2 linked regions of the Notamacropus eugenii genome follow. The protein of the gene in region 2 interacts with the protein of the main gene of each other region in a pairwise test. Links are inferred from orthologs where the notes say so. Each region holds a gene or a part of one and is shown on either strand. Other genes may lie near its edges.

Region 1 (3,743 bases), on a different chromosome or scaffold from region 2:
CCTTCTAAACCTTGAACGGAGCTAGGAGTTCCCAAGAAAAATTTGAGGAGGAAGAGCATTCCAGCCTGGGCAAAGGCAAGGAGGAAACGTCAGAGACGGAATGCCAGGTGGGGGAGGGGCGTGAAGAACATAGCTAGATATTGATGTATTAACTATGTGCCAAGCCTTTTGCTAAATGCTGGGGATATAAATACACACAAGCAGGTCAGTCAGAGTTCCCTTAGGTGAGCGCCTTCTTTATGAGATTCCCTCCAAAGTATCTTGCATGGATCTTGCACACAAAGTTACTTGTGAGATGTCGCCCCACCACACCCCATTGAACTGTTAACTCTTTGAGATCAGGGATGAGTCGTGCCTTTCTTTGTAGCCTCAACTCTTATACTGTGCCTGGCAGATACTAAGAGCTGGGTAACACATGGAGCTTATGTCCTAACGGGGAATGACAATGCCTCACTGGGAACTAGAAGGTGATGGAGAAGATACTGCTGGGGGCCATGCCACAGGAAACGATTGCTAATCATCTACAGGCAACTATGTTAAGCACCGGGGATCGATCCGAAGGAAGGCAGAATTTTACAGTTCCTGCCCTCAAGGGGTTCCCAATCTAGTGAGGAAGACAGTATGCCAACAAATAAGGGTAAAATAAACTGGTGGTCATCTACAGAAGGAACGAGCTAGCCATGGGGGATTGGAAAAAGAAGGATTTTAGTTGGAACCAGAAACGTCGAGGAGGAAGGAGGAGAAGGGGAAAGGAGGGGGTGGTGGTGGTGGAGGTAGGAGGGTCAGGCAGCGGGAGGGCTTTTGAAAACAGCCGAGAGGCTGGCATCGGGGGTCTCCAGGTACAAGGTAAGGTGTGACAGACTGAGGGAGGGGCCAGGCTGTGGCAGGCTCTCGATTGGGGCCCCTAGAGGTTACTGAGTGGCGGGGACGAGGGGGGCGCCAGGTGCGCTTTAGGAGGATCGCTCCTCTGGACTAGTGGGGAGAGTCTGGAGGCAGGGAGGCCGAGCGGGCCGAAGGCCACGGCGGGGAGTCACAGAGCGGGGGTTTCCTTAGGTGGGACAAGAGGCCGTTTTGGGAGGGAGGCCATCTCCCAGGCGGCAGGACACGCTGTCTGCAGAGAGGGAGACCAGTGCACGCCGCTGCCATGGCAACAGGCGCTCCGCCCCCTCCCGACCCCCCGCCGCGCATCGTCACGTGCCGCGAACCCTACCCCCTCCGGGGGGCGTGGCTTCTTCGAGGAATAGTTGACAGACCAGGATGGCGGAGCCAACTGAGAGGAGAGCTCATGGCTCGGGATCTCGATGGAGTCGGGTGGGTCCCGCCTAGGAAGTCACCTGAGCCTGCGGGGGCCGCCTGTGTAAGGCCCCCAGACTGGAAATGGGCTGTTTGAAGGCACGTGGGGTTGCCAAGCTTTCTTCACGTGACTGGGCGGGGCTGGAGTCTCCTCAGCCAATGGTGGCCTAAGAGGGCGGTGCCTTCGACGCGCCAAGGACCTATCAGGGAAAGGGGGAGTGATGTGCGGGCGGGGGAGTAGAAGAGAGGGCTGGCTTGGGGGGAGGGGGCGGGGAAAGTGCTTGCCGGGCCCCGCCCCGTCTGCTGAAGCCTCCTCGCATCCGCGGCCGCCGCTGCCGCCGCAGTGGATGATCAGGCTCCTTGAGCGCGGGCAGAGCCTCCGCCGCTGGCTGGAAGGTGAGCGCCGGGAGTTCGGCGGGGACTCGGGCGGGGGGCGCTGACGGAGCATCTCGGGGCAGGGGAGGGTCCCTGCGGCGCGCGCCCCCCGGGGCCGGGACCAGGACCGGAGCCTCGCGCCAGGTAGCGGCGGGGGAGTGGGGAGCGACGCGCGCTCCAGGGCCGGCGTATCGGGGGCATGCGCGTCCCCGCGAGGGGGGGAGGGGAGCGGCGCGCGCCCCGGGCGGGGGGGAGGGGGCAGGTGGGCGCAGGTGGAGCCCGGGGCGGGGAGGCCGGTCACGATTCTCACGATGGGAAAGTTTCCGAGCGGAGCCCCCCCCAGCGCCCCTCCCCCCTGCCCAGATCCCGCCGCAGGAGGACCACCGCCCCGACCCGCCATGGCCGACGAGATCGACTTCACCACCGGAGACGCCGGGGCTTCCAGCACGTATCCGATGCAGTGCTCGGCCCTGCGCAAGAACGGCTTCGTGGTGCTCAAGGGCCGGCCCTGCAAGATCGTGGAAATGTCCACTTCGAAGACGGGCAAGCACGGCCACGCCAAGGTGACCGCGCCCGCCCGCCGCCCGGCCCAGCCCGGGCCGCCCCCTCCTCCCCAGCCGGGCCTCCCGGAACCCCGCCTGCCCGCGGAGCCGGAGGGTCCGTGAGGTTGGGACCCACGTGCGGCAATGCCAGTCCTTGAGACCGGGCTGCTGCGGGCATGCCGCTGGTAGTTCGCTGGAGTTAGGAACCTGCGCTCACACCCTGGCGTGGACCATGGCGATGCTTGGTTAAGCGGCTGCTCTATTTCAGGCTGTGCTAAGCCCTGGTGGGGATACAAAGAAAGGAAAAAACAGCCCCTGCCCTCCGAGAGCAGTGTGCAGACCACTCTGCACAAACAGGAATGCTATCTGTATGAGCTCAGGCAAGCGGCTTTTACTTACCCGGGCCTCTGTTCTTCATCTCTGAAAGGAGGGTCTCCCAGTACCCTTTCGGCTCTAGATCTGGGACCCTCATTGGTCTCCCTGCCCCCCAGAAAGTCATCTTCCTGAATCCTAAGTCTGACCTTGTTACTTCCTACTTAGTGTAAGCACCAAGGCTGCCCTTCACCTTGTGAGGACCTGATGCCCACCGGCCCTTTGAGCTTTCTCATGGGTGACTCTTTGCAGCACTCCTGAGATCTACCCTAGTGGGCTTTCCTGCTGCGCTTCTCCTGATAGTCCCTGTCCCTGCCCTTTGCACACTCTGCCCCCCTGCCTCCTTGACCACTTTTATCTCCTCCTTCACCATCTTTGAAGCTTCACAGCTCAGCTCAGAGGCCTTCTTTTATCCCACATCCCTACCCCCCATCTGCCAGTGCCGGTTCTCCAAGATTAACTTGTATTTCTTTTGTATTTACTGTATCCTCTGATGGAACATAAAACTCCTTGAGTGCCAGGACAGTTGCATTTTTGTGATAGTATCTAATGTGCCCGTGTTGGGGGGTGGGGTCTCATTTTTTTCTTAAAGATAACATTTTGTTTTTGAGAGACGAAAATCTCAAACAGAATTGATATTTTGCTCTTAAAGTAATTTAGGTATTGGACTGGACAAAAATTTAACACGCTTACTTTATGCATTAGGTTCACTTGGTTGGAATTGATATTTTTACGGGCAAAAAGTACGAAGATATTTGCCCTTCCACTCACAACATGGATGTTCCAAATATCAAGAGAAATGATTATCAAGTAAGTAATTTCCTCTCAATAGATTTTTTCCCTTTATTACACACATGGTTTGTTACAAGTTGTATAAGCCAGAGTGCTTTTATTCATCTCTTGCTTCTAAATAAGAAGAAGGAAATATAAGGAAAATATTCATTGTAGATACTGGAAGGAGAGAGAGTGATTTTCATATTTCTGCAGTAGAGTTAATGGTGACATTTTTAAAATTACTTTCACTTTGTAAAAATGTGAATTGTCATTTTAAAACATTAGTAAGGTACAGAACAAGTGATGATGATTGCTCTTGAAATGGTTTGTTGAAGTGTGTGGGTCCAAAGTTCCATAAAGTTAATGAAACCACTACTTTGTGCTTGC
Region 2 (3,743 bases):
CCACTCACTGACCGACGGCTTGGGTTCAGATCTGTGTGGTCTTCCTCCTCCCCCCCAAGAGGTTCCAGCTTCTTCTCAATCTGGGAGAGAAGGTGGAGTGACAGTGATCTCTCTCCAAACCTAAAACCTGGGCTTGCTGGGACACAGGGCCCACTCAAAGATTATAGTTCCTGAATCGTTCAAGAGACTCAGAAACTGAAGCCTAGTGAAGATAAAAGACCAGCCTAAGGTTACGAAGGGGAACTTGAATTTGTTTCCTGACTGGATCCCTTAGATTCCAACTGGGCAGAGGTGCACACAGTGACACACTACAGCATCTTTTTTTTTAGCATCTCAATACTTGTTCACCACCCAAGGTGGCACTGACGCAGGGCCCTTGCTGCCGACAGCTTCTCTCGTGCTTTGACGGTCTCCTCAGCGTCCCGCTGCCCCCTTAGGCCTCGCCCTGGCAGCAATCTCCCTAAATCTGTAATGCCCCTTTACCCCTGGGTTGGGTCGTGCTCTCTTCCCAGGTCCTCACCTCGGACCCACAGACATCAAAGTCTGAGGCTGGCTCCCCCAGCGCCGGCCCTCCCTTATCGCTCTTCCCTCACTCACTCCTCTCCCAAACCCCTTGGCATTGACCCGTCCTGCCTTATCCTCCTCTCTTTCTAGGGCCCCCACCTTGACCTACTCGTCTGCCCCAGCCCCGCCTCCTCCCCTCCCCAAGCCTGAGACCTGCTCTCCCCAGCCCCGCCTCCTCCCCTCCCCAAGCCTGAGACCTGCTCTCCCCAGCCCCGCCTCCTCCCCTCCCCAAGCCTGAGACCTGCTCTCCCCAGCCCCGCCTCCTCCCCCTCCCCATGCCTGGGACCTGCTCTCCCCAGCCCCGCCTCCTCCCCTCCCCAAGCCTGGGACCAGCTCTCCCCAGCCCCGCCTCCTCCCCCTCCCCAAGCCTGGGACCAGCTCTCCCCAGCCCCGCCTCCTCCCCCTCCCCAAGCCTGGGACCAGCTCTCCCCAGCCCCTCCTCCTCCCCCGCCCCATGCCTGGGACCTGCTCTCCCCAGCCCCGCCTCCTCCCCTCCCCAAGCCTGAGACCTGCTCTCCCCAGCCCCGCCTCCTCCCCTCCCCATGCCTGGGACCAGCTCTCCCCAGCCCCGCCTCCTCTCCTCCCCAAGCCTGAGACCTGCTCTCCCCAGCCCCGCCTCCTCCCCCTCCCCAAGCCTGGGACCAGCTCTCCCCAGCCCCGCCTCCTCCCCCTCCCCAAGCCTGGGACCTGCTCTCCCCAGCCCCGCCTCCTCCCCCTCCCCAAGCCTGGGACCTGCTCTCCCCATCCCCGCCTCCTCCCCCTCCCCAAGCCTGGGACCAGCTCTCCCCAGCCCCGCCTCCTCCCCTCCCCATGCCTGGGACCTGCTCTCCCCAGCCCCGCCTCCTCCCCTCCCCAAGCCTGGGACCAGCTCTCCCCAGCCCCGCCTCCTCCCCTCCCCAAGCCTGGGACCAGCTCTCCGCAGCCCCGCCTCCTCCCCCTCCCCAAGCCTGGGACCTGCTCTCCCCATCCCCGCCTCCTCCCCCTCCCCAAGCCTGGGACCAGCTCTCCCCATCCCCGCCTCCTCCCCCTCCCCAAGCCTGGGACCAGCTCTCCCCAACCCCGCCTCCTCCCCCGCCCCATGCCTGGGACCTGCTCTCCCCAGCCCCGCTCCCACCCGCTTTGACCTCCTCTTCTGCCCTAGCCCCGCCTCCCTTAGCAGGGCTCCGACCTGCCCCACCTCCCCAGCCCCGCCCCCTCACCATGGCGTTGACCTGCTGCACGGCGCGGCCGAAGCTGGTGGCCTGGAAGCCGGTGGTGGCGAAGGCTCGTAGGAGAGCGCCATAGTCCAGGCCGCGGTTGAAGTCGTAGCCCCGTACCTGGACGGCCTCCGCGGGCAGCGTCGAGCTGTGCCTGAGGACGGCGTCCACAGCTCCCGGGGGCGGTCGCGGCCCGGGCCTGTCCCCTCCCTCCTCCTCCGGGGAGCCCTCCATGCGCCCTCTGGGGGAGGCTGGAAGTCAGGGTCAGGCCACCCGGCCCGTCCTCGGCTCACCGGGGGCTCCGCGCGATCCCGGCTAGCCGAGGAAGTGAGGCGGGGGAAGAGAGACGGGGAAGGACCGGAAGTGTTGCCGGTCACGTGGCGACGGGGGCCCAGCTGCCCTTTTTCCCCCTGTCTCCTTTCTTCTACGGAGGCCGCCAGGCTCGCGAGTTTGGCCAGCGCTCTGCCGCCCCCTGTCGGTCGGCCGCAGAGTCTCCGGTCCCAGGCCGCAGGCGGACGCCCCTTTGCCTCTCTGCACCGTGCCCAGAAGATGCACGACGTGCCTCCTCACAGCTCTGGAGCAGAACAAACTTGGACAAGACTCAGCCCCTCTCTGCGAAATCCTGGCCCGGAAGGCGGACGTCACGTGGGCGATCCGCCTTGTAGGCCAGTGTGGCCATTTCACAGACCAGTCCGCAAAGCGGGAGCTAGGACAGCGGGCGGGTGGGAAGTGCAGCCCGGCCGCGCAGGCTCGCTCCTGATCCTGGGTCTGCTGCGCTATCCGGTGTGCCACCTGGAATAACATGCAGTAAAGAAAAAGGAGGGAAGGCCCCTAGGAAGGAACTGGGGCCGAGAGAGCTTAGTGGACCTGTCCAGGTGCCTGGCCCCTGCCTCCAGACTCCGATCTTTTCCCCTTAGACACTACATCAGCGGTCTCCAAAACTTGGTTATATCACACACCTCATCAGTCAACAATGTTTGGACACATGGACTAGACCAATGATCTCCAAACCTTTTGATATCATGCAGCTTGCCAGTTAAAAATGTTTAAGTACATAGTCCCAACCTGTTCTCTATATAAATTTATTTATATGGAGATGCATAATGTGTAAGGGCAGCTAGGTGGCACAGTGGATAGAGTACCAGGCCTGGAGTCAGGAAGACGAGTTCAAATCCAGCCTCAGACACCAACTAGCTGTGGAACCCTGGGCAAGTCACTTAACCCTGTTTGCCTCAGTTTCCTCATCTGTAAAATGAGCTGGAGAAGGAAATGGAAAACCACTCCAGTAGCTTTGCCAAGAAAATCCCAAATTGGAGCACAAACAGTTGTACACCACTGAAACAATGGTATAGAAGATAAGAGTCATTCAAGTCCTGACTCATGGCAGCTATGAGTCTACCTACCTAATAGGTAGGTCACATAATATTGGAGTGCCCTAGTTTAGGACACTATAAGGCTACAAATTGCCAACATGTCAGCCTGCACTGGAAGGAATTTCCTTACCCCAAAATTCCCCATGACAATGGAAACCAGTCCCTATACCCCTACCACTGTGATAACATATGCATAATAAAACTTATACAAAAATATACATTTAAAAAACATAATCTTTGGACATGTGGTCCAACAGGGAGCCACTGGAATTTATTGAAAAAAGAATGGCATGGTTTGACTTGTGCTCTGAGAAAATCACTTTGGCAGTTATGTAGAAGACAGATGTAAGGCAGGGAGGCCAGTTAAGCTATTGATAAAAGTCTGGGTGAGAGGTAGAAAAGCCCCTGCAAGGGTGAATGGAGATAAAGGGATTGTTGTGAGAAGTAGAAAGAAGACAATCATTGATGGGCTATGTGGACTAAGACAGGAATTAAGGACTACAAGGTGGCTTTGAGGGTGAACGTCAACTTGGATACTAGGAATAGAAAAGTTCTTTAGGGTTGAAAGGATCACAGAGTATCCTTATCCTCAGTGACCCAATGACAGTGA

Evidence for each region.
Region 1: the proteins of DHPS (region 2) and EIF5A2 interact in binary tests that used the Homo sapiens proteins (3 or more experiments, as listed by UniProt). The two-hybrid records come from large-scale screens. The link is inferred for Notamacropus eugenii from reciprocal best matches to the Homo sapiens genes DHPS and EIF5A2.

What each region holds. Positions count from the first base shown.
Region 1 is NC_092877.1:353,271,596-353,275,338, forward strand, and holds the start of EIF5A2 (eukaryotic translation initiation factor 5A-2), read left to right. Parts: upstream 1-1,555; 5' UTR 1,556-1,640; coding exon 1,641-1,689; intron 1,690-1,752; exon of another isoform or gene 1,753-1,812; intron 1,813-2,031; coding exon 2,032-2,231; intron 2,232-3,287; coding exon 3,288-3,392; intron 3,393-3,743. UniProt on the Homo sapiens protein: Translation factor that promotes translation elongation and termination, particularly upon ribosome stalling at specific amino acid sequence contexts.
Region 2 is NC_092875.1:78,235,834-78,239,576, reverse strand, and holds the start of DHPS (deoxyhypusine synthase), read right to left. Parts: upstream 2,158-3,743; 5' UTR 1,995-2,157; coding exon 1,764-1,994; intron 81-1,763; coding exon 1-80. UniProt on the Homo sapiens protein: Catalyzes the NAD-dependent oxidative cleavage of spermidine and the subsequent transfer of the butylamine moiety of spermidine to the epsilon-amino group of a critical lysine residue of the eIF-5A precursor protein to form the intermediate deoxyhypusine residue.